3 linked regions of the Lonchura striata genome follow. The protein of the gene in region 2 binds, or shares a complex with, the protein of the main gene of each other region. Links are inferred from orthologs where the notes say so. Each region holds a gene or a part of one and is shown on either strand. Other genes may lie near its edges.

Evidence for each region. Proteins that work in one complex are often made in the same cells at the same time.
Region 1: DNAJB13 (region 2) and DYDC1 share a complex: the UniProt entries of both Homo sapiens proteins name them as parts of the axonemal radial spoke complex. The link is inferred for Lonchura striata from reciprocal best matches to the Homo sapiens genes DNAJB13 and DYDC1.
Region 3: DNAJB13 (region 2) and LRRC23 share a complex: the UniProt entries of both Homo sapiens proteins name them as parts of the axonemal radial spoke complex. The link is inferred for Lonchura striata from reciprocal best matches to the Homo sapiens genes DNAJB13 and LRRC23.

Annotation. Positions count from the first base shown.
Region 1 is NC_134609.1:7,916,985-7,924,913, reverse strand, and holds the start of DYDC1 (DPY30 domain-containing protein 1), read right to left. Parts: upstream 3,073-7,929; 5' UTR 3,043-3,072; coding exon of another isoform or gene 2,893-3,042; intron 2,806-2,892; coding exon of another isoform or gene 2,539-2,805; exon of another isoform or gene 2,525-2,538; intron 319-2,524; 5' UTR 313-318; coding exon 166-312; intron 34-165; coding exon 1-33. Other genes in the region: EXOSC3 (exosome complex component RRP40), read left to right, coding at 2,539-2,805, 2,893-3,042, 3,586-3,737, 5,152-5,353. UniProt on the Homo sapiens protein: Functions as part of axonemal radial spoke complexes that play an important part in the motility of sperm and cilia. Plays a crucial role during acrosome biogenesis.
Region 2 is NC_134604.1:18,499,571-18,507,646, reverse strand, and holds the start of DNAJB13 (dnaJ homolog subfamily B member 13), read right to left. Parts: upstream 3,065-8,076; 5' UTR 3,016-3,064; coding exon 2,948-3,015; intron 2,518-2,947; coding exon 2,414-2,517; intron 2,186-2,413; coding exon 2,024-2,185; intron 1,905-2,023; coding exon of another isoform or gene 1,864-1,904; exon of another isoform or gene 1,661-1,863; intron 1,641-1,660; coding exon 1,483-1,640; intron 763-1,482; coding exon 649-762; intron 1-648. Other genes in the region: PAAF1 (proteasomal ATPase-associated factor 1), read right to left, coding at 3,508-3,585, 3,953-4,035, 4,280-4,362, 4,927-5,042, 5,324-5,415, 5,749-5,943, 6,968-7,118, 7,765-7,863. UniProt on the Homo sapiens protein: Functions as part of axonemal radial spoke complexes that play an important part in the motility of sperm and cilia.
Region 3 is NC_134604.1:29,748,076-29,755,031, forward strand, and holds the start of LRRC23 (leucine-rich repeat-containing protein 23), read left to right. Parts: upstream 1-3,884; 5' UTR 3,885-3,934; coding exon 3,935-4,015; intron 4,016-4,089; coding exon 4,090-4,202; intron 4,203-5,017; coding exon 5,018-5,271; intron 5,272-5,354; coding exon 5,355-5,485; intron 5,486-6,956. UniProt on the Homo sapiens protein: Essential for sperm motility and male fertility. Plays an important role in the proper assembly of the third radial spoke (RS3) head and the bridge structure between RS2 and RS3 in the sperm flagella.

The DNA of each region.
Region 1 (7,929 bases), on a different chromosome or scaffold from region 2:
TTCTTGCTCTATCTCAGCTCTCTCCAGCATTCTCTATTTCAGATGTAACACAGAATCAATTAAACATAAAAATGAAAGATATATTAAATAGCATCAACTATATTGTAGCAATCTTTTTTTTTTTCTTTTTTTTTTTTTTTTTTTTTTTGCCTAAGTTAGATCTACCTTTTTTTCTTCATCTAAGTTTCTTCTGTAATTGTAAATCCAGTGTGCAAGATACTCTATTGGATCTGCTGGCCGATGCTCTACAACCTCTGCCAGTCCCTTCTTCAAACAATTTCCCAGGCATTGCTTCAGATACTGAGACTCCATCCAAATCTACTGACAATAAACAGACAGACATTAGACATCAATGTTAGAATTAAGTTAGGGGCTCTAAGAACTCTTGCTTCAGGTGCCAAACACTGATTATGACAATACTTTTTACTAAGCCTTCAATTTATACAAGAAAGTTATTTAGCAGTAATTTAGCTCTTAAAGGCGCCAGTGACAGCTCAGTTATAACAATCACTGCAGAAAAAAAAAATGCTTAAACCCCACCTTATTGTTTGGACATGTATAATTCATAAAGTACTTGGAAACACACTGCTAATTCTAGGGCTGCATGATAACAAAAAACAAAAAAAAACAAAACAAAACAAAAAAACCAAACCAAACCAAAACAAAACAAAAAAAACAACATTGAAAAGCACAACAGGACATTAAAAACTTCTATGCAGAGAACAGGCAACTAACTCTGAGGACAATTAAGGGTAATTTTAGTTTGAACTGTCAAAGCTATCTTTAAGAGATGTGTGCAAGGCGAGGGTCTGAACGCTCTACAGTTACGAAAGGCACAGATCTCTGCACACACTCCACCAGCCCAGTCTAAGTACACAGGAGCCGTCCTTTGCTGCCAAGGGGGCTGAAAACGTGCCAGGGCAGAGAGCCCAGGCAATGAATTGACACAGTGACTACAGCCCATCCTCCGCGTTCACGGGGGCTCCAGGTGGCCTTAGTGTGCCCACCCTCGTAACCCGGAGCCGCCGCCCACGCCCCCCTGCCCGGGCTCCTCAGCCCTGCCCCGGGGCGCGGAGCCCGTTACCCGCCTCCCTCACACTCCGCCAGTCCCCGGCAGCCGGTGCTGCCTGCTCCGCTCTGCTGTAGCCGCCCGCCTTCCCTCGGACAGCAGCTCCCGGAGCGCCGGGGCTGCAGCCCCCGGCCCGGCCCGGCCCCGCTCCGCTCCTACCAGCGCGCGGGGTTGCTCCGCAACAGCGGCGGCAGCGCAGCGGCCCCAGCGCCGCCCGCAGGAGCGGACGGAGGGGTGAAGGGCCTGGCCGGAAAGGTCCCCGAGGGCACAAAACCGGGAGGAGAGGCCGAGACCTCAGAGGGTTTTGTGGCCCTTGAGAGAGACTTGAAAAAAATGGAGTTGAATGAGCAGAGAAGAAACTGAAATTCAGCTATGGCAAATGCAGGGTATTGCACGTGGGGAGGAATAATCCCAAGTGCTGGGGGTAATCTGCTGGGGAGCAGCTCTGTGGAGGAGGATCTGATGGACAACAAGGTCTTGCAGCAGTGCCCTTGTTGCCAAGAAGGCCAATGGTACCCCCGGGTGCATTAGGAAAAGCACTGCTAGCATGTCAAGGGAAGTGAATCTGCCCGTCTGCTGAGGTTCTGCCTGGAGTGCTGTGTCCAGTTCTGGGCTCCGCAGGGACAGAGAGACATGAAGATCTGGAGTGGGTCCAGCAGAGAGCTATGAAGATCATTAAGAGACTTGGGCATCTCTTATAAGGAAAGAGAGAGCTGAGCCTGCTCAGCCTTGAGAAGAGATGCTTGATAGAGGACCTTATTAATATGTATAAATATCTAAAGGGGAGGTGCCAAGCTCTGCTTCGTGGTGCCAACCACTAGGACACCAAGGAATGGGCAGAAACTGATGCATAGGAAGCTCCATTTAAACAGGAGGCAGAACTTTACTTTGTGCAGGTGACCACACACTGGAACGGATTGCCCAGAGAGGTTGTGGACTCTATCTAGAGATACTGAAAACTGTCTAGATGCAGTTCTGTGCAACGTGCTCTAGGATGACCCTGCTTAAAGCAGGGAGGATGGGCCAGATGACCCATTGTGATCCTTTCCAACTGTTTTAATACCATCTGTCTGTGAGCAGTTTCCCTTCACAACTGATGTGATCTTTTTTGCTCCCTGCCAAACTCATCGGCTGACGGTCACCTCATATTTACCAGCTGTTTGTTTTGCTGTCAACTTCTAATCGGGTATTCAAAACCCTTGTAACTGCAGCTGGAAGAATTAGCTCCGTGTGTTTATTAATTCCGACGCGTAAGTGCGAAATGAACATCACCTTGGCCGCCCCCCGGCAGAACTGGAAGGCGGGCTGCTTCCCGCAGGAAAGGCAGGCGGCTGGCGGAGGCGCCGTGAGCGGCGCGGGGCCGGCTGCAGCTCGGGGACCGGCCGGGCGGTGTCGCTGGCGCGCCGCGGCCGCTCCGCGCAGGGCGCGGGGCGCAGGGCGCAGCCGCCGCCCCGGCCCGAGGCGCGGCCATGGCGGCGGAGCGCGGCGCGCCGGCCGAGGCGCTGGTGGGGCAGGTGGTGCTGCCCGGGGACCTGCTGCTGCTGCCCGCGCACTACGACGAGGACGCGGAGGGCGAGCGGCTGCGGCTGAGCGCGGGCACGGCGCCGCAGGGGCGGCTGCTGTGCGGGCCGGGGCTGCGGCGCAGCGGGGCCGGGCTGCTGGTGACCAAGTGCGGGCTGCTGCGGCACCGGCCCGCGGGCGGCGGCGCCTTCTGGGTGGACTCGCAGCAGAAGCGGGTAGGGTCCGTGTGTCTGTGTGTGTGTCTGTGTGTCTGTGTGTTAGCCCGCGCTCCCCTGACCCTCTGTCCCCCTCGCCCGCTGCAGTACGTGCCGGTGAAGGGCGACCACGTCATCGGGATCGTGACGGCCAAAGCGGGGGACGTGTTCCGGCTGGACGTGGGCGGCAGCGAGCCCGCGTCCCTGTCCTACCTGGCCTTCGAAGGTGCCACGAAGAGGAACAGGCCGAACGTGCAGGTGGGTGCCCTGCTTCGCTGCCGGTGACGCTTCAGCTGCGTCCTTTGGTGGCGCCCGTGTCGCGTTCCAGTGGCTTTTCTTAGGGGAAGTTAGGGGAGGTCTGGTTCTAATGGTTTCGCCTTGGTCCTCCTCAGAGCGTTTTGCACCACTGGCCGCGGCCTCTCTGGGGTTTTTTAGGACCGTAACTAGCGTGGTTTGTTCTCTCTCAGCTGGCTGGGTGCTTCACTCTCATGTGTTGGTTTGCCAGGAGCAGATGCAGTTCATAAGGTGCCTCCGAAAGGGCGCTCCGATGTTAGGGTTTTAAAACGTGATGCTGGTAGAAAATATTAGTTGTGTGGGTTCTTTTAACAGCGCTGTTATGAATGGTTGTGTTGCACATGCATGCCATAGTTTCTGCACTCCCATGAAATGCCATTACCAGAATGTAAAAGGTAAAACTGTAAAGAAAAACAAAATCGGTGTGATATTTTTTATTGTTGTCCTGCTAAATGATTATAAGAGATAAAATCCTGTACTTTTGTTCTTTGACACTGTTTTGTTTAGGTGGGAGATCTTATTTATGGTCAGTTTGTTGTAGCAAATAAAGACATGGAACCAGAGATGGTGTGTATAGACAGCAGTGGAAAATCAAGTGGCATGGGAATAATTGGACAAGACGGCTTCCTCTTTAAAGTTTCCTTAGGTCTAATAAGAAAGTAAGTACTAAAAATGTAATTAGTCACTCTCACGTATAAATTACCACAGCTGTTTCTTCTGAGTAGTGTGGGCAGTTTGGTAAATCAGACTGTGTGATTCTTGTAGTGCGTTGAAACCAGATTTACTGAATAGAGTATGGATTGATCTAGAAGAAAAGTTTATTTTTTCTTTTAAGAGACTTAGAAGCTCTTTTGTATGGTGTTACATCACCTGTTTAAAAATAGTGATGTGGATGCCAAGGCAGTATGGAAAATAAAAGTAGTGTCTTGGGGTAGTCAAACATTCAGGATAGTGTTTCAGCTATGTACATATTACCTTGGAGTTTAAAACTTGGCAATGCTTATTGTCCTTGTTCTGTTTCGTGGGGGTAATAGAGGGTGTATGTTTGGCTGACAGCTGATTAAAGGGATCTTTGCACATCAGTACACATTATTTTCTGACTTCCAAATAAAAATAAATAACATTGAAATACAGATTTTAAAAATGTTGGATTTTAGTTTAAGGCTGACACATAAATCCAGGAACTGTTTCATAAGCTTTTAAATGTATTGTGAACTTTGGAGTTGCTTATGCTGATGTAAATACATGACTTTTTTTTTTGTGACTGTTAAAGTATACCAGATTACATGGATAAACAATAGTCAAAATTTGTTTTTGCTTTTTGGGTGGAGTTTTTTGTTTGTTTTGTCATTCTTTGGATAAGCAATCTGGCACTGCAGAGCAGCTTTTTCATACCTGGCATTGTCTGATTTATATGTCCTATTAGAAGTCAGCATGAACTGATACAAAAGCTTCTTGCAGCCATTCTGTTTTCCAAGTTTTGTCTGTATACAAGTAAAAAAAATAACAGCATATTACAAGTAAACTGCTAAATACTGGTATGCTTTTATTTTTTGTGAATACTTGTCTAATCTTGATTTAATTCTAGACGCATTACAGGATTTAGTATGTTGTCATCTAATAAAAATGAAGTAGGCTATTTATTGCTGTTAATACTGTTTCCTGAAATAGAAGGGAAGTCCTGTTTTGAAAGACACCTCTGGGGTGTCAAATAAATAGCACATCAAAAATGTCATTTGGTCAAATTGTGTACTTTTAGATTTATTTGCTCATAGAATTGTGTGTAAAAGTATCAATTAACTTTAAACTTATCAGGGATTGCTTCTGAATCTAATGACAAAAGTAAATTTATAATGGCTTTATTTTTTTAGGTGCATGCATTTTATATGCCAGGAGCCTTGAAAATCTGATACTGTATTGCTATGTTGGATGTATATAGAACTTTATAATCTTTCAGTGTTTCTTAAATGGCTCCCATAATAGCAGTACTGCTGGAGCTACTGGTCAATAATAATGTGGTCTCTGTAAGCATGATCACTCCTTCCTCTGACTTTTTTTTTGTCTTGTTCACAGGCTCTTGGCTCCCAAATGTGAAATAATTCAAGAGTTGTCACAATTGTACCCATTTGAGCTGGTGCTGGGAATGAATGGAAGAATATGGGTAAAAGCTAAAACAGTGCAACAGACTTTAATTATAGTAAATATTTTGGAAGCCTGTGAGTATATGACTGCACAACAGAGAAAACAAGCGCTTGCCAAACTGTCAGGGAACTGATAAGAGAAAACCTTGAGGATTGTTTGTGATGACTGTAGGGTGTTTTGGTTATTTTTGTATTCAGATTTATATATTAAAAGCCTTTTTTTAAATGAAGTACTCGATTTTGGTTGGTCTTCATTTCCCTTCTTTATCCACTCAGCTTGATTCTGTGTTGTTTAAGGAGTTTGTTTTGACTCGCTTTTGTGGTTATCAAGCCCTGTTTATGTTCATGAATTTTCTGACTAATGGGTCTTTGGAAGCTTTCATTAGCTTTCATTAGCTCTGAATTTTGAAGCTTAACTACCTAGATCTTCTGGTCATTTTGTGAGCAGCATGTAATTGTTTTTATGGTTATTAAAATTTCAAACCATCCATGTTTACTTTGGATAGCAAAAAGTATCCCATGGGTCATTAATTTTGGTTGGGTGCTATATTTATACAGTGACATTTAGTAATTATTTAATATATTATTACGTTTGGGATTAGAAATGCAGGTAGAGAATACTAGAAAATAATTGCAGGGTGTAGCATAAAGCAGTCACAGGGTGGTTAAGGCAAATGATCAGATAAGACCAAAAATATGTTCACAGGGACACTGTCACTTTCCCTAAGTGATGACCTGCCTGTTATTATTAAAGACATAGTGATAAGGATGTCACAATAGTAATCATGTGTTTTTTGATTTAAGACATTGTTTTCTTATACCATAAAGATGCCTTAGAGCTTTGGTAATATTTAACAAAACCAGCATTTCTGAAAAAAAACTATGTTTGGCTTCTTTGTGTAACAATCCCTTGATGCATATAGAGGAGATGCTGTCTTGGAAGGGTAAGCTCTCAGAATTTTAGTGTATGAGTAATTTGCTACTGTTTCGAGAGAGGAAGAGAACCCTGGATTAATGGAAGGGGGTGGAGTTGTGTTATTGCGTGTTTTATTATCATTTCACAATGTAATGGTTCGTTCCCGTGTACCCCCACATTCAGCTTGGTTTGTCCCTGTTTTCCTGCCTTGCCCTGGGTGTCAATCCTCCCCCGAGTGTCAGTCATTCCCTTGGCCCCTCCCAGGCTCCCTGTCTGTCACTCGGTGTCCCCGCCCATACATCCAGAACCTTCCATCCTGGCTGCCTGGTGATTGGACAGGGGCCTGGGGCCCCGCCCATATCCATCCCTCATTGGTTCCCATATGTGTCTGTCTATACAAGAGCCACTCCCCTTGTGCTCCCATTGGCTGAACAATTCCCTCCTCTCAGTATATAAGGTGTTGCAAGCGCCCTGCTGGGGCTCTTGTTAGCTGGCGTTGTTCAGGTGTTGTTGGGCCCTGCTGGGCTACAATAACCTTTGGATTCAGCCCCTAACAAGAGACTCTCTTCTTTGCCACGCCGTGGGATTCAGCTGCGCCTGTCAGACCCACAGAGCACTCTCCAAAGCCCTGCTGGGCTCAGCGGAGGGTGCTTCCATTTGCCCTTCTCGCCCCATCGGGAGCTAGCCGGGGCAGAAAGGGACTGAGAACTGAGACTGGGGTGAGAGCGCAGCAGAAGGGTGGTTACTGATGCCTTCTTCCTGTGGGAGAAAAGTTTGATTGTAGGTCCCGAATGAACTTCTTGCAGCTGTTAGGCAGTCATTTAGATCTGTGATATTCTGTGGTTCTTAATAAGCTGGATGGTTAATAGCAATAGTTAAAGGAAATTACTAAAAATGAATTAATTAGGGTGAGCCTAAATACCATCTTAATCAAAGTGGAAACATAATTTTTCCTGTTTATTCTGCATTTCATTAATCCAAAGCTCAACCTGGTTGATGATAGGGTTGTCTTTGGCATCTCTGTCATTTAGAAATTGCTTCAGTTCAGAGCCAGCTCCTCTGAGTCATCTGTAACGTGCTTACCTAGGGCTTCCCCTGGTTCAACAAGAGCACAACTCTAATGGTTTCCATGTGAGTCAAATGGCTACAATTCAGAATTCTTAGTGAATTTCACTGATCTCCTTATTTAGCATCTAGGGCATTGCTCATCTGGCTTGGTAGGTCTTTAGTCATCTTTTTTCACCTGTCATCTCCCAGGTGAAGTGGCTTTCATTCATATCCCATAAACTTTTTGGGTCTGTAGTCTTATCTCTTACTTCTCTTACACATGAGAAGCTGTAAATTAATCAGGTTTTCAATAACTGTTCTTCTCTAGAGCTTTTTTAATTTCAGCTAACCAGAGCCTCTGCAGGTTGTCTGTTGTTAGAACAATAGCTGGCATAGGCAGAAAAGCATTTGCCAAATTATCTCAGGGTGCTGACTTTTTTTTGTGATTTGTTCTTGGATCGTAATAGTAAAACCAAAGGAATAGGCAATGACAGGTAATTTCCTGAATAATTGTGGCTTGAAATGGAATTAGCTGCACCACTACACTTTACCTAAGCAAACTTCTTTCCCTTCCAAAAGCCTGTGCTCCAAGTTTAACCTGCAAGATGCAAATGAGCAATCCCAGTAAAAATGCTGGCTTGGTAGTGTAGCACAGCAAATGGCAACCTTGAAAGGTCTCAACACAACCAGCACACTATTTCATACCACACATCATGCTGTCCCATTGTCACTCACTTATCACCCAAA
Region 2 (8,076 bases):
GATCACAGAATCATGGAATGCCAGGACGGTTTGGGTTGGAAGGGACATTAAAATTCACCCAGTTCCACCCCCTGCCATGGGTAGGGACACCTTCCACGAGACCAGGTTGCCCCAGGCCACATCAAACCTGTCCTTAGAAACCTGAAAATTATATTATACTGGGAAAACTGACACAAATTCTTGCTCTTTTGTTGCTGTTTTGGCTACAGAGAAGAGAAAGGTATTTTCTTTCCTTAAGAGAAAAAGGAGTCTTTTATCCAAGATGCCTGCCCAGCCAAGGGCCAATCCCGAACTGTGTTTCTGCCAGGAAGAAAACCAGCCCTTTCAATTATTTTTTCTGTAATCTGTTCTGAGGAAAATCCAGGCAGGGATGGCTCCTCAGAGTGCTCCTGAGCACAGTAATGCTGAATCTCTCTGTTGGTCACACTGCCAAATGCCCTCAGCAGTGGAAAACCAGAACTTCTTCATGGAAGAATTTTTCCACGGAGTGGGCACAGGACTGAACAGCTGCCCAAGGGGAACATGGAGTCTCCTCTCTGGAGACATCCCAAACCCACCTGGATGAGTTCCTGCCTGTGCAGGGGTGTTGGATGAGATGATCTCCAGGGCTCCCTTCCAAACCTGATAATTCTGTGGTTCTGTGCTCACCTGGTCTCCTTCCTTCTCAAAGGTGATCCTGGTGCCACGCTGCCATCCCGGCTGCACATGGATGGTTAGGATCTTACACCTGATGGTGCTGGTCTGCCCGTCCTCATTCAGCACCTGGGCGTGCACAGGGAGGGGCACAGAGTGGGAGGGTCAGCAGCACTCTGCTCGCCAGAGGAAAGGGTAAGCCTGGCTTGTACTCCACACCAAAGTGGCTGTGGGTACAAACAGGATCAGATCACAGAATTGTGGGATCATTTAGGTCAGAAAAGATGTCCAAGATCATGGAGTCCAGTTGTTCTCCCAGCATTGCCAGGCCACCACTAACCCATAGCTTTAAATACCTCCAGGAATGGGGACACCACTACTACCCTAGGCAGCCTATTCCACTGCCTGACCACCCTTTCAGCGCAGAAATTTTCCCTAATATCCAACCTAAACCTCCCCTGGCACAGCTTGAGGCTGTTTCCTCATGTCCTAGAGCAGGAGAGACTCAGGGCTGGGTCCAGGAGACTGGGACAACAAGGAGGGGGAACAGAGGTCACCAAAGGCACAAAAAGGAGACACAATGCAGTGTGAAAATGGAATTTTGGGAGCCCAGAACACGAGCTCCTTCTCACTCATCTCCGAGATCAGCCCTTGCTTCCTACCAGCTCCCATGCTGAATTCCCTTTGCCAAGCTGGGGGGAAGAACACTGGTTCAGCTCCTCCTGGGTTTGGTTCTGATCCCTCCCTGTGACAAGCTCCTGGGGCAGGGCCATCCCCAAATCCCCAAGGTCCCACAGTGAGGGCAGAGCTCGCCCCCAAAACCACCCCCTTCAGCCCCACAGCCCCTACCCTGCGGGAGAGCTTAATCTTCTTGGTGCAGCCCTGGTACAGGTCCTCGAGGGACACGTAGAGATCCTGCACGATGGGGGGGTCCTGCCGCACGGCCCCCCGGCCTCGGGGCCCTGCAAAGGGTAGCAGCACCTTTGAGCCATCCTCGGCAAAGAACTCTGTGGGAGGGAGCAGAGGGACAGTCCTCACTGGGGTCAGAGCTGGGGGGCTCCTCCAGGCTTGTTACCTCCCAGCTGGAACCACCCCAAGTGTGTTCTTTCTTTATGGCAGCATCATCTCCCTAATCCCTCTTTATGATGGGAATCCCAGGAAGGGTCACAGGAGCAGATGGGGAAAGCTGACAGCCTGAACAGCACCTCCAGGTCTCTCCCTGACCCAGGACTAGGGGAAGTCAGGATCTCTCCTCCAAGCACCAGAGGGCTCTGAGAGAAGTTGGGGAGGAAAGCATTCCCAGAAAGCTTGATGTTCTGAGCTGGCAGCTGCCATGAAATCATGGCAGCCACAGAAAGACCTCAGCCAGTCCCAACGTCTCCCAACCTACCTGCAAAGGGGTTGTCCCCTCCAAAGAACTCCCTGAAGACTTTTTCAGGGTTGTTGTGGAACACGTATCCGACGCTCCAACGGTTGCCACCCGCATACTCCAAGGGGATGCCACCTTTGAGCCCCTCTTCCCCAAATTTGTCGTAGATGCCTTTCTTCATAGCTTAGGGAACAAGGAAATGTTGGGAAATGAGGGAGAGCCCCAGCCTGAGATCCAGGATTTGTCTGGGTGGAGGCTGGAGAAGAGGGTTCCCTCTTCTCCAGGGGAGACAGACATGGGTGTGCCAGTTCTCAGCTGGGCTGTGGGTCACGGAGCTGCTCCTGCCAGGGAGCAGGAATTCCCAGCCCCTTCCTGCCCCTGCAGTCAAAGGAAGGGAACAGTCCCACTTACGGTCGCTGAGCACATCGTAGGCCTCTGCCAGCAGCTGGAACCTCTTCGGGCCCCAGGGCTCCTTGCATTTCAGTGGGTGGTACTTCAGGGCCAGCTTCCGATAGCTAAGGAGCACAGGATGGGCTCAGGGGGACTTCAAAGTCCATCTCCTTCCCACCCCCTGCCATAGGCAGGGACACCTTCCACTATCCCAGGCTGAACGGGGCTTGGAGCAACTTCCAGGGATGGGGGCGGCCACTTCTCTGGGGAAGCTGTGCCAGGGCTCACCACCCCCACAGCCATGATTTCCTTCCCAATCTGCCACCCATCCCTGCCCTCTGGCAGTGGAAGCCATTCCCTGTGTCCCGTCTCTCCAGACGCACCGGCCCCATTCCCACACCCAGCCCGGGCTGCCCCCAGACCCTTCTCCCCCTCGCAGGCCCCACCGCGGGGCAGGGGGAAACCAAGGCCAGCCACGCACGGGGCCGCCCCGGTCCCGCCGCCACCCCGCTGCCCCCCGCCCAGGGTGTCTCTCTGATGCCGGGGGTCCCTCACGCCTTCCGGATGTCGTCGGCGGTGGCGCCGCGGTCCAGCTCCAGCACGGCGTAGTAGTCCAGCCCCATGGCGTCCCGTGGCTATGGCGACGCGCCCCGCGCCGCGCGAGGCACCACGGGAAGCGTAGTTCTCCCGCTCGCTTTCGAACTCCGCCGGGCCCGCGCACCCCTCACCCCGCACCTCTTCTTCTTAAAAACCCCCAAGGCTTCATGCATTAACACAGGTGCTATCAAAGCAGCGGTTTATTTCACTCCATACTGTGACAATCACTTTCACTGCACCCCCTCGCTCCCTTTATTTATTTATTTCCCCCCCACTACAAACAGCACATTTTCAGCACTGGAAATGCAACCACAACATCATTGCAACACAAGATCCTCTTTAAATTAAAAATTGATCCCAGCTTTTTGTGTAGTAGCAAAATGTGACCTGTTACAAAAACACTGTGTATGGATCCTGGTCATCACAACAGCCTCAAACTTGAACACACACATCCCAGGAAAATCAGCTTGGAAGAGCCTTTCCCAGACGCTTCTCCTTTATTTGGCTCCTTCAAACACTTAAAGGTCAGAAAGTTGGTATCTCCTCACTATCCCATCCCGGCAGCATGTGTAGATTTCCTTCTCCCAAGAAGCCACCTGAAGAAGGGAAAAAAAAAAAAAAGGGAACAAGATGGGTCAGGCAGCACCATTGCTTTTACCCTCAGGATTCTCCCAGCACTCTTTATCCACATTTTTTATAGGAACATAGCTCTACCAGACCTGCTCCAACTCCACCACTCCAGCCAGCTCCTGCACAACCAAGATAAAGACAGGGAATTCTGCAGAGGATTGGTTTATGCAAAATATCAGGATTATTCAGGTAGAAAAAATAAAGATAAACTCAGAAGTCAACTGTGTGAGGGAACCTGCTGAGGTGAAAAGCCTGAGATAAAGGCAGCTGCCTCCTGCCTGGCATCAGCTTTCCCTGCCAACCTTCTCCTCAGGGATACCTCACGTTCCTCACCTTGTACACAGGGTCGCAGTCGGCCTCGGTGAGATCCAGGACATAATCCAGGTCCTGCTGAACAATGAAGCAGGTGCCATCCCCTGCAAGGAAGGCACAGCAGCCAATCAGTGAAACCAGCCACGCTCTTCATTACTGACAGAAACTCCAGCGGGAAAAGGCTCCGGTGTGTGAGACGTGCCTTGGAGGCCCCGTTGTGGAGGGTCACGAGGGATATGGAGGCCGGAAATCCCAAAGCAAAGGGGCAAAAGGACAATGCCCAAAGAGCACAAAGCTCCTTGACTCGATTATAGGATTTCTAGGGGCAAAAAACAGCCCTGGAATTACCTTGGCTGGCAATAAATCCATCTCGGTACGGGAGCAGGGAAAGCACCGGTGCTCCCGATCTGTGGATCACCTGGATTGGAGCACTAGGAAAAGGAAGAGAAACAAGGGATGAGGATTGTTGTTCAGAGCAGCTGTGGCTGCCCCTGGATCCCTGGGAGTGTCCAAGCCCAGGCTGGATGGGGCTTGGAGCAGCTTGGGCTAGTCGAAGGTGTCCCTACCCATGGGAAGGGGTGGCACTGGATGAGCTTTAAGGCCCCTTCCAACCCAAACTATTCCATGATTTTTTCCTATGGACTGAGTTAGCAGGAAACAGCAATAAAACTCCACAGCTCAGTTCCAGTCCTGTGCTGGAATGAGGATCAGCGTAAATGTCAGGATCCACATGAGGGAAAGAAATGGGCAGTATGGGAGGGGGGAATATTGATAAGAACTTTTCTGCCCCATTTATCTACACGTATGCGCACACAGATTATACTTTTATAATTTTATAATTTTATATAACAATACACACAGCACACCAAAATAATGCAAGAGGCTCAGGATGCAATGGGATGCATCCCTTGGAAGTGGCACCGCCTGGCAGCACCCTCTGCCTGACTCTCTTTTCCAACCAAAACACTGGCTGTTTGTCCCAGGCACTCACTCACTTTGTGTTTCTCACATCCAGCTGGTAGATGTTCCCATCTTGAGTCCCTGCCAGAATGTAGGTGCTTGACAGGAATGTGCAGCAGTTGAAGGCATCAGATCCAATAAAGAGGAACACCTGAGGATTTGGGAACAAACCAAGTGTCAGGCACGTGGGACACCCACAAGAGGGAAGCATTTATTCAGAAGACAGTGCAGCTGCCACTGTTTAATTTTAAATACTGTCTTCTCTGTTCTCAGGTTAAATCCTGAGCAATTCTTACTCTTCACATAAAATTCTGTCCAGGAGGAAGGAGAGAGAGCATCCTTTTATTGCATCAGGCTTTGGCCTCTCCTCCAGTTTAGGTTTAACATAGCTCAATTCCCCATCCCAGTGCTCTGACAGCCCCAGATCCTTACTGGCTGCCTGCTCTGCAGTCCCACTCCTTGAAGCTTCTTGTCCTCTCGAGCCAGCAGCAGGATTTTCCCTTCTGTCCCCACCTCACGTTCACCTGGAAAAAGGACAACAGCTAATTCCAGCTGCACAACAAACCTTGGTGGGATCAGAACCCAACAGCTTGGATCGCCCCAGCTGAATTGTGGCAAGATTCCTCCAGATCCCAAGACACCAGGAAGGCCAGCAACCATGCAGAGCTCAGTCTTCATCACTCAGTAATGATGAAGGTTGATAGGGCTAAATTCCACCCAGGATTGGAGCACTCTGTTCCCTTCCCATGGTGCTACAAGGGCATGGAGCAGCTTTCCCATCACTTGGGATTACTGGGGACAAACCTAAGCAATTTGGGACAGGGAGATGAGGGGTATTTTAAGGGAAAGGCCCTTACTGGGAGGTTTCTCGGGTGTGCCCAGGTTCAGGGAGTTGTCAGCAGTGCCCACGGCAATGCCATTGACAGGAGAGCCACAGTCAGCGATGATGCCCAGGCACGCAGACTTCCCACAGTCCCAGAGACGGGCAGTGCCATCCCTGGAGCAGGACAGGACATTCCTTCCCCGATCCACAATGGCAGTGTCCAAAACACCTGCATGAAACCACAGACTGTGTTCATACTGACACGAAAAGCACCCGATTTCCCGAGCTGAACGCGACTACTGGCTCCAGACTACTGTCCCCAGTGACAGCAGTCGCACACAGACAAGTTGTGCTTCTAGAAAAAGGTGCCTGTGGAAGGCAACAGCTCCCAGAAAACTCCACAGTGTGGAACCACAAAGGGAAGATATTATCAATCAAATGATCAGCAACACCTCACCTCAGCCCGAGCTGGTTCCATGCAAAATGAACTTCTAATTTGGCACTTTTAAACGTTCCCATGTCCCCCCCCCGCCCCGGATAATCCCAAAAGCATCATCCCTGTTGTCCAGCTACAGCAACATCCAAAGAGCAGTGTCTGCTGGCACTAAGATCCCTTAACTACTTTATTTTACTGTGGGCTGTAAATTTTGGATCTGAAAAATGACAGTGGTTTTCTTAGCAGGGAACAGCCAGGTGGTCAGAAGATTTAAATGCCACTTTTCCTACAGAAGCTCAAAGGACAGGATAAGCCAAGCAAACAGACTGCAGCAGTTTGAGCTGAAGGAATAAGCAGTGACTAAAGTCACCTGGAGAGTGACTGGCAGCATCACTCTGACCAAGGTTCTGCCACACCCCCTGGTTTGGGTTGGGTACATGGCTGTAAAAGCATTTTCAATGCCCACAGATTATAGAATGTCTTGGGTAGGAAGGGGCCTTGAAGAACAACTTCCAACCCACAAATCATGTAAAAACAATGGCAGGTTCAGCACAAGATGGGTTTTTGAGTGAATCAAGTTTAGGGCAGCCAGCCATGGAGTTTATTAACCTCTCAATCAAGCCCAGCACCTCATGGGACAGGGAAAACCAGAGCCTGGACACAGCCATTGGCAGCTCAGGGAAGAGAGAATCTGGGCCATCTGATGCCACATTCTAGACATGAAACACAGAGTGCAGCAGGCTGGCAACTGGACATCAACCCTGGAGTGCAAGGCAAGTACACACACAGCAAATAAAGCATTTTAAGGGCTCTGTACCTCCTTTGTGACCTTTAAATGTTACTACACAGCTGGCATCTTCTGCTGACCAGATCTTTAGCTGGGCATCCATTCCCCCACTCAGAACCACGAGGCCAGATGGGAAAAACCTGCAACAATTCACATCATACACATGGCCTTCCAAAAGTCTCTGGAAAAACAAAGAACTACGTGCTAGTTCCATTGTCATCATCCTTGTGCCGAGCAGTTGTTGAGTTATGACACTGGAAATCTTGGCATTCTCAGGTGGGCAAAGGATTAAACTCAAATCCTCTGGGTCTGCATTGCTGGAATGGAGTGGTCTGAATTTTGGGCAAAGTGCTGACTTTGGGCCTCCTTCTACCATTTGAGCAGCTAATTACATAGCAGAAGATACAAACACAGGTTAAATGTCTTTATCCTCTGCCAAACAAGAAGCTGACAGGTCAAGCTCCACAAGAAGAAGCTTCCCTCTTTACTGGGAAAGCCACAAGCCAGGATGTACCTAATCCAGCACCAAAATCTTTTTTCCTCCCCTCTTCTCTTTTTCATAAGAAATTCAGTGCATTTACCATGCAGGTTAGGGGTTGTCAGTGACCTTTTACTCCTGAGTACCTCTCTGAGCAACATCCCCCTTGGGAGAGGCCACCTTTTCCAGCAGATTTGACTTAAAGCCTCCAAGATGTCCAATTTCAATTAGCTTTTCATTAAAAAGCCGGATTCTTCACAGGGTGTGGACAGCCTGACCAAAGCCATGGCCTTCAGGACTTCAGGAATGTCACAGACAACACAAAAATATCCAAGCCAGATGTTCTTACTCTTATTTCTCCATTTGCAGCCTGCCATATTTTCATGGTCCCGTCTGTGCTGGTAGACACTCCGAGTCCTCCACCACTGGATATATCAAGGCAGGTAATCTGCAGGAAGGTAAAAGCACCAAGAATTAGCTTTATATAATTCCGTATATAAATACTTCTGCTCAAGAGCCTAGTTCTGTACAGGGGAAGACCTGCTAAGCATATTCACTGCCTGTGACTCTGCAAGGCCAGAAAAAAAAAAAGGAATGCTGAGGCAGAAACCTGCACAAGAAGAAGCAGTTGCATTCCAGGTTTATCCCAGGTGGAAAAGAA
Region 3 (6,956 bases), about 11 Mb from region 2:
AGGCCTCCCTTGAGGCTTTCCCCCTCCACAGTCATTGTTCTAGATGTTCTGCTAACCACCCCCACCACGTCAGAGTCCTGTCTGCAGGAGCCTGTCTCGGCAGAGTCTTGACAAGTCTCCACTCTGAGCTGAATCCTCAGTTTCCTGTTGACCTGTTCAGAGCTCACAGCCCACCTGGCCAGTATCTCTCCCTTTCCCTGCAGCCCTGCAGGGACAGGGAGCCGCTGGTGCTGCGGGGAGGAAAAAGGAACCACAGTCTCTTGCATCCTTCAGCTCCATCAGCAAGGAATCTCTCAGCTTAGACCCTTGTGAGATGTCTTACCTCACCTGTGTCCCGTACTGAACAATAAATGAAAAACAGAAAAAGCAAAGGTGTGTCCTGGATCTTACTTGGAAGCATCTCGGGGACAAGCAGCATAGAGAACTTACTGCTTTTTGAGGTGGCTGGTTGCAGAGAGGGTTTTGTGGGCTTTTCCCTGAGAGCCCACCATTACTCCAGTAGGCACTACATGGGTTCAACCTGCATCTTGCTTCTGGCATATAACAGCTCTTCTTTGGGCCTGTGGTGATTTTGTTATATCTGTGTATCTATTCCAGTAGCTGCTGGAGCACCTGGCTGTTCCACCAGTGAGCCAGTCTTCCCTGGCAGGCTCAGTAATGTGCTCATCCATGCTCTTTGCCTGTAAGCCTGGTAATTGACTTTGCTCACTCAATGTAGAGTGGAGCAGCTCAGTCTCTGCAGGGAAGGATTTTATTTAGGCCCTGTGTTGGGGCAGTACTTGCTGCTTGCTTTCAGCCATGTGCTGGTGGGTGAGAAAGCAAGACTTGATGTTACTTCCCAGCTAGCTGCTGGGGTTTTTTTGGTAGTACTGAGGGTGATGAAAAAAAAGTGCCTTACAAGGAGGAGCTTATTTGTGAGGCAGTACATCCTTGGGAGCCTATGGACAGTGTTCCAGCTGCTAGTGCTAGCATCACTTGAGGGATAAGGGGCCAAGAGCTGAGGAGCAGGGAGGAAAAAGCCTCTGGTGCTGGGGGCGGTCCTGCTGCCTAGCTGGATGGGAGGGATCTTCCTAGGATATCAGGTGGTCTGAGAAGGACGGGCTTGACAGCAGCAAGGAGATGGCAGCTCCCAGCTCTGTATGTGTGTGGAGTGAAATAGAAAGAAGGAGGATGGTTCAAAGACAAAAAAAAAAAAAAAAAAAAAAAAGGCAAACTGAAAACTATATAACCAGAGCACATGTTTCTGAGAGACTGCTGGGCCATGGCTGTAGGTTGGGGCTGTTGGGTCATACAGACCAGAGCAGCAATGTTGCAGCAGGGGCACACGGTGATCCTAAGGCTGCAGGGACTGGGTACAATCACTCAGGGCTGGGCCACCACCCGCTGCAGCTCTGCTATCTGCTCCTGTTCCTGCCCAGCCCTGCCCACAGTACAAGAGCCCAGGAGAGTGACCTACATAGAAGAAAACAGATGGGAGCTGGCATTGATCTTACTGCTTTGAGAGAATTCAGGGGCATGAAAACATTCATTTAATGAGGAATAAACTCATGGAAAATAATTTCTGTATCAGCAGGAGTGCCAGATCTTGTTTCTCTTTTTTTTTTGTCTGCTTCCTGGCAGGACTGCAGCTCTCTGGAGTGGAAATACTGCCAGATCCTCACAGCAAACTGTAGTGGTTGGATCTTAAACAGGTTGCTGTTGGAGAAAAATGCACTGTGCCAGATGTAACAGCCTGAGAGAGGCTGCAATGGCTCCGCATCCCCAGCCCCAAACAATAACCAGGCTGAGCCTGTATTCCCAGTAGGCACCACACACATGCTGGACTCAATGATCCTTGTGGGTATCCCTTTAAACTCAGAATATTCTGTGACTTTGAATATATTGTACTTAAACACAGCCATGGCTGGCCACACAGATCCATCCACACAGAGCACTCCCACACAGCACTGACAGCCTCATCCCACGCCCTGCTCCAGCTGAGCAGGACAGAAGTGCGCTAGTGAGCGTCTGTGTCCATCTGTGTATTTACAGAAGAATTTACACTCGTGTACAGCAGGTCTCCTTCCAGCAGCTGCCTCAGGCAGTGCCCAGGAGCTGCCCCTCACTCCCAACCTCTCCAGCCCCCAGCAGCAGCTCCCTGTGGTGTTCTGACCACGAGTTCCTCATGCAGGGCAAAGTGCAGAAGGAGTTTAATGAGAAGATCTGACAGGCTGCGCTGATCAGGTGCAGGACATGGACAAATCATCACAAACCATTTACACAGGACTGGCCCTTTTTATTCCTGTGTGCTGTATTTGTTTCTCTGTGACCTAGGTCACCCTGGCTCCTGCCCTAATCACTCCCTAACGAGTCCTGTGCAATCCCCAAATGCTCTTCCCCTGCGTCTCATCCTGTCCCACACCCCTGAAGACAGTGACACCCCCAATGTTAAAGGTGCTCTGGGGCTGAGGCTCCCCTGGGATGGCACTGGACAGGGTGTTCTTTTCTCTGAGTCCTTAATTTGGGTTTCCACCTGCCACTGTGCCCCTCGAAATGGGCCTTTACTGGGCTGATGGCTCCTGGGACGGGCCTGGAAGCAGCCTGGCAGGTGCTGCTTGGGCTCCCCCTCCTGCCATCACCGCCTGTGCTCCTGTGTGGGTGTGCAGGCCAGGTTTTAGTACATACCCTCCTTAATTGTTGGTATAATTAGGTTTGGGATATAGAATCTAAACAAAAATTTTCTAGTTTAAAGATTCGTGTTTCTGTAATTAGGGGATGTTTAGGGCAGGAGGCAAAGGCAGGAAAGGAAGTGTTCATATGCAGATTAATGCTTTACTCTGAGGGTGGTGAGGCACTGGAACAGGTTGCCCGGAGGAGTTGTGGCTGCCCCATCCTTGGAGGTGCTCAAGGCTGGGTTGCACAGAGCCCTCAGCAACCTGGTCTAGAGGGTGGCATCCCTGCCTGTGACAGAGGGATTGAGACGAGCGGATTTTTGAGGTTACTTCCAATCCGAACCAATCTGTGGTTGTGTGGTAATGAGCAGGGAGTGAACTCAGATTCACATTCACATGTGTAGCACAGGAGAAGGGGTCAGCACTGGGGAGTCTAGCAGGACAAGGCAGGACGCAGCTTGCTGTGCAGCCCGGAGTGCAGGGGTGCTTTGCAGGAAGGGCGATAGCTGATGGTTGTGTGAGCAGCTCTGCTTGAAGCAGCTTACCTAGCGCTAATGTTACCCAGGCACTGCAAAGGAGCAAAGTGCACTGAAGGGAAAGAGCCTTGGACTTTGTATGAACTGCACAACACTGCTGACCATCAGCTCTGAGCCGCATTCCTGGCTGGTAAACACCCGGTGCTGTTGGCATGGGCTGGGCACGGGCAGCCTCAACCCTTCCCAGCCCCGCAGCCTGGAGGACAGGGCTGGAGCAGTGCACCCCAAAAACCCCTTCCTGTCATCCACGTGCTCATAATCGGGAGGCTTCATGCAAAGCTCAAGACTAATTCTGCTCAACATGTTAATTAAACATTTACTAGAGGGTAAATTAAGCGTTAATTAGGCATTCACCGCCCGAGTGCCCACCACCCTGCCTGACTTCGAACGGGCCCCGTTTTGAGCTGGGCGCGCACAGAGATCCCTTCCCACAGGGGAAATCCTGCCGTTGTGTGGATAGGCGGCCAGCGGCAGATGTCGCCCAGGCGGCAGGCGGAGCGGGATCGAGCTCTCCGGGCCCGCGTTGCGGGCGGGACGCGCCCCGAGCTCTCCGGGCCCGCGGTGCGGGCGGGACGCGCCCCGAGCTCTCCGCGCCCGCGGTGCGGGCGGGACGCGCCCCGAGCTCTCCGGGCCCGCGGTGCGGGCGGGACGCGCCCCGAGCTCTCCGCGCCCGCGGCGCTGCGGGCGGCGGGCCCGCCCCCGTTCCCGGGGCAGCGGCCGCGCCCCGGCCAGCGCGGCCCGCCCGGCATGGAGGACGAGGAGCTGGAGGAGGAGGGGAAGGAGGAGCACGGGGAGGAGAAGGAGGAGGATGAGGAGAAGGAAGAAGAGGTGAGGAGGAGGCTTTCAGCACCGCCCGGCTGCGGCTGGGCCAGCGCTGGCCTTGTGCTCTCCTTGTCTCCCAGGAGCCGGTTCCCTGTCCCCTGACGGAGGAACACCTCAAGGAGGGCCTCTCTCTCCTCAGTAAGACCAGCAACGGGCTGGCCCACGCCTATGTGAAGTTTGAAGCCAAAGACAAGTGAGTGTGCAGTGCCTGACCCGGCAGAAGCCCTTTCCTTACTCCATGGCCATGGAGTGTTGTGCTGGACCGGCCGTGCGGGGTAGGAGCGTGTCCAGGCCCTGCTCTCCAGCCCCTGCATTCCAGTCTGGGCTTCAGCACAGCCTGTCCATCCTCAGCCCTGGGCACTGCCTCCAGACACACCTCTGGGAACACCAGTGTGTCCTAAGCCTGCCCATCGCTCTGGACTGCGCTCTCCTAGGGGGGCCTGCACAGAGTGACCTCCCTTACAGGCACTTTGAGAAATACCCATTCACATCTGGCCTCCTAATTGCTAACCTTCAAGACAGGCAGCTCTAAGTACTGTGCCACAACAGCCTTGGAACAGTTTGGAGCCTCAGCCTCCCCAGCACAGCCACCCAACTAAGGCCCCATTAAGACTGTTTCTTTCAGCAGCCCCATAGGGTATCTCAACCACTATTTTTTCCACTAGAAAAGTCCTTCCACTCAATCCTTTGTGTTGACACTATTGTCTAACAGACCCCTCCCCAAAACTTACCCATTTCTCTGCTCTGGTTGTGCCCTGTCCTGACAGATACAATTTAATTGGAATAAATACTCCCTCTGCCAAGAAAGCATGTCCAGTCTTACCATTCATCTTTGCTTACAGGCCTGTCCCTATCACCTGCCGTTTTCTTCCTTCTCTCAGCAGAGCTTTCTAGCAGCAGGGAAGTAGGAGAGGTGGTTGCCCTTCCTCCAGTAGTGGCAAGGAGAAATCCAAAAGATGGTAGTGGGGAAATATGAGAGATATTTTATTCACATTCACTCTCCCTCAGGGGCCTGACAGACATCAGCCTCCTCGAACGCTTCATTCACCTGCGGTATGTGGATTTGTCGAAGAACAAGCTGAAAGATTTGGCCCCACTGAGCAGCCTAACCCAGCTGCTTTGGCTGAAGGTGGATGAGAATCTGCTCACCAGTGCCAGCATGCAGGAGCTGCCCTACCTCCAAGTCATCAGCTTTGATCGCAACCGCATCATGGATTTTGAGGGCCTTACTCACCCCCTCCTAGCCAACCTCAGCCTGAAAGGTGATACGGTCTACCTGTCTTGTGGGGACACTCTCTTGGAAAGGTGGGATTAACTCCTTGTTTCTTCTTCCTCTGGCACTCAGAAAATAAAATCGAGACAGTGCAGGGCCTGAGTCACGACCAGTTGTTCAGCCTGGAGGTCCTGGAGCTTCGAGGAAACAAGATAAAGACCACAGCAGGGCTCGGCGTTTCCAAGCTCAAGAAGCTCTATCTGGTAAGGGATCAGCCATCCTGGGGAGTGGGACAGACAGAGCTGCTGCAGAGCCCAGCCCCTGCAGCCCAGATAGCACAAAGGGAGTGGCCATGAACCACAAATCACAGAGGAGTCGATGTTGGGGGCATCAGGTTCTTCCCTCACAGCCTCCTGCAGGAGGGCAGCTTTCCTTTCAGGCAGTGTTGGGCAAGCTTGTATTCCGTGTGCCCTGGGACCACTGGAGATCACTGGGCAAGCAACAGCTTTGTTCTTTGGGTGGCGAAGGGAAGAAATGCCTCTTTCTCCTCTCTGAGGCCCTAATCAAATACTGGTTTAAAGCCAGCACAATTATGTGATTTACACCTACACCCGCCAAAAAATAAATAGATTCAATATTGCAGTGAAACTAAGACAGGAGAAGCAGATTCTTAATATCATAAACAATTACTTCAAGGAAGCATTTACTCCTAGAGATGCAAGTGAAGAAAGTATGTATGGCTTAGCCCCATGGATCACACTGTGCTACAGCTTGCAAAGACTAAACAGATGTCTTGAGTCACTACCTCTTGAAAAGCAATTAAAGATGATAAAGGCTTTGAAAAACTATGTGGTTTCTTTTCATCAAGATTCCCTGGCAGAAAACACTGAAGAGATTGCTTGCTGAGATCGTCTGCAATTTTCTGAAGGGAAACTGGGATTTTATGACTGGAGGTGCTCCAAGAATGGATGAAGTGGATAAGTCACTAGATACAATACAGAATTTCAAAGCTTACCCAGTCACCTTAGTGAGTTATTGCAGGGAAGCAAACAGACCATCTCTGCTGAGGGAAGGTTCCTGGCATGACTGAGGGGTTTCTGAGCTGCCATGTGAAACAGGAAAATTGCAAGGGGTGATTGTTAAAACTAGAACAACTGACTCACAAGAATATTTGGGGCTTGAATTTATCTCCCATGTCTACCTGCTCATTAAATTATTTTGCAGGGAAATCTCCCCCAGTAATGCTTTGGTTTCTGTATAAAGACTGGTGTTATTTCAGCCTTGGATAAATGCAGCTGATGCCTCAAGGACAGGGTTCAAGATAAAGGGTTCAATTTAAGGAGCTAAACCACATTTGGTTAATGTATGACATAGCCACAGATTAAATTTCATAGTAAAAAGTGGTATGTGCTAGGAAGACTACAAGCTGGGTGTATGCCATGTGGCATTTGCATCATTTCTGAAGGTTATAGTAGGGCTGTGTTAGTTCCTGCCCATGGGGCAGCCGTGGTGGCAAAGGCTAACCTGAAAAAGGTGAAGTGTGCAGGAAGGGGAGAGGAGATCATGGTCAATGTATGGTAACTTTCCATAAGAAACAGTGGTATCACATCTGGGTGAAGAACTGGTGTCCAAGGGAAGGTGATGGTGCATCAGACAGAATGTTGTTTGATTTAGGGGAGAAAAATGGAACAACTCTGAAAAATATTCATTCTGCATTGTCCTGCTAGTGCTTGC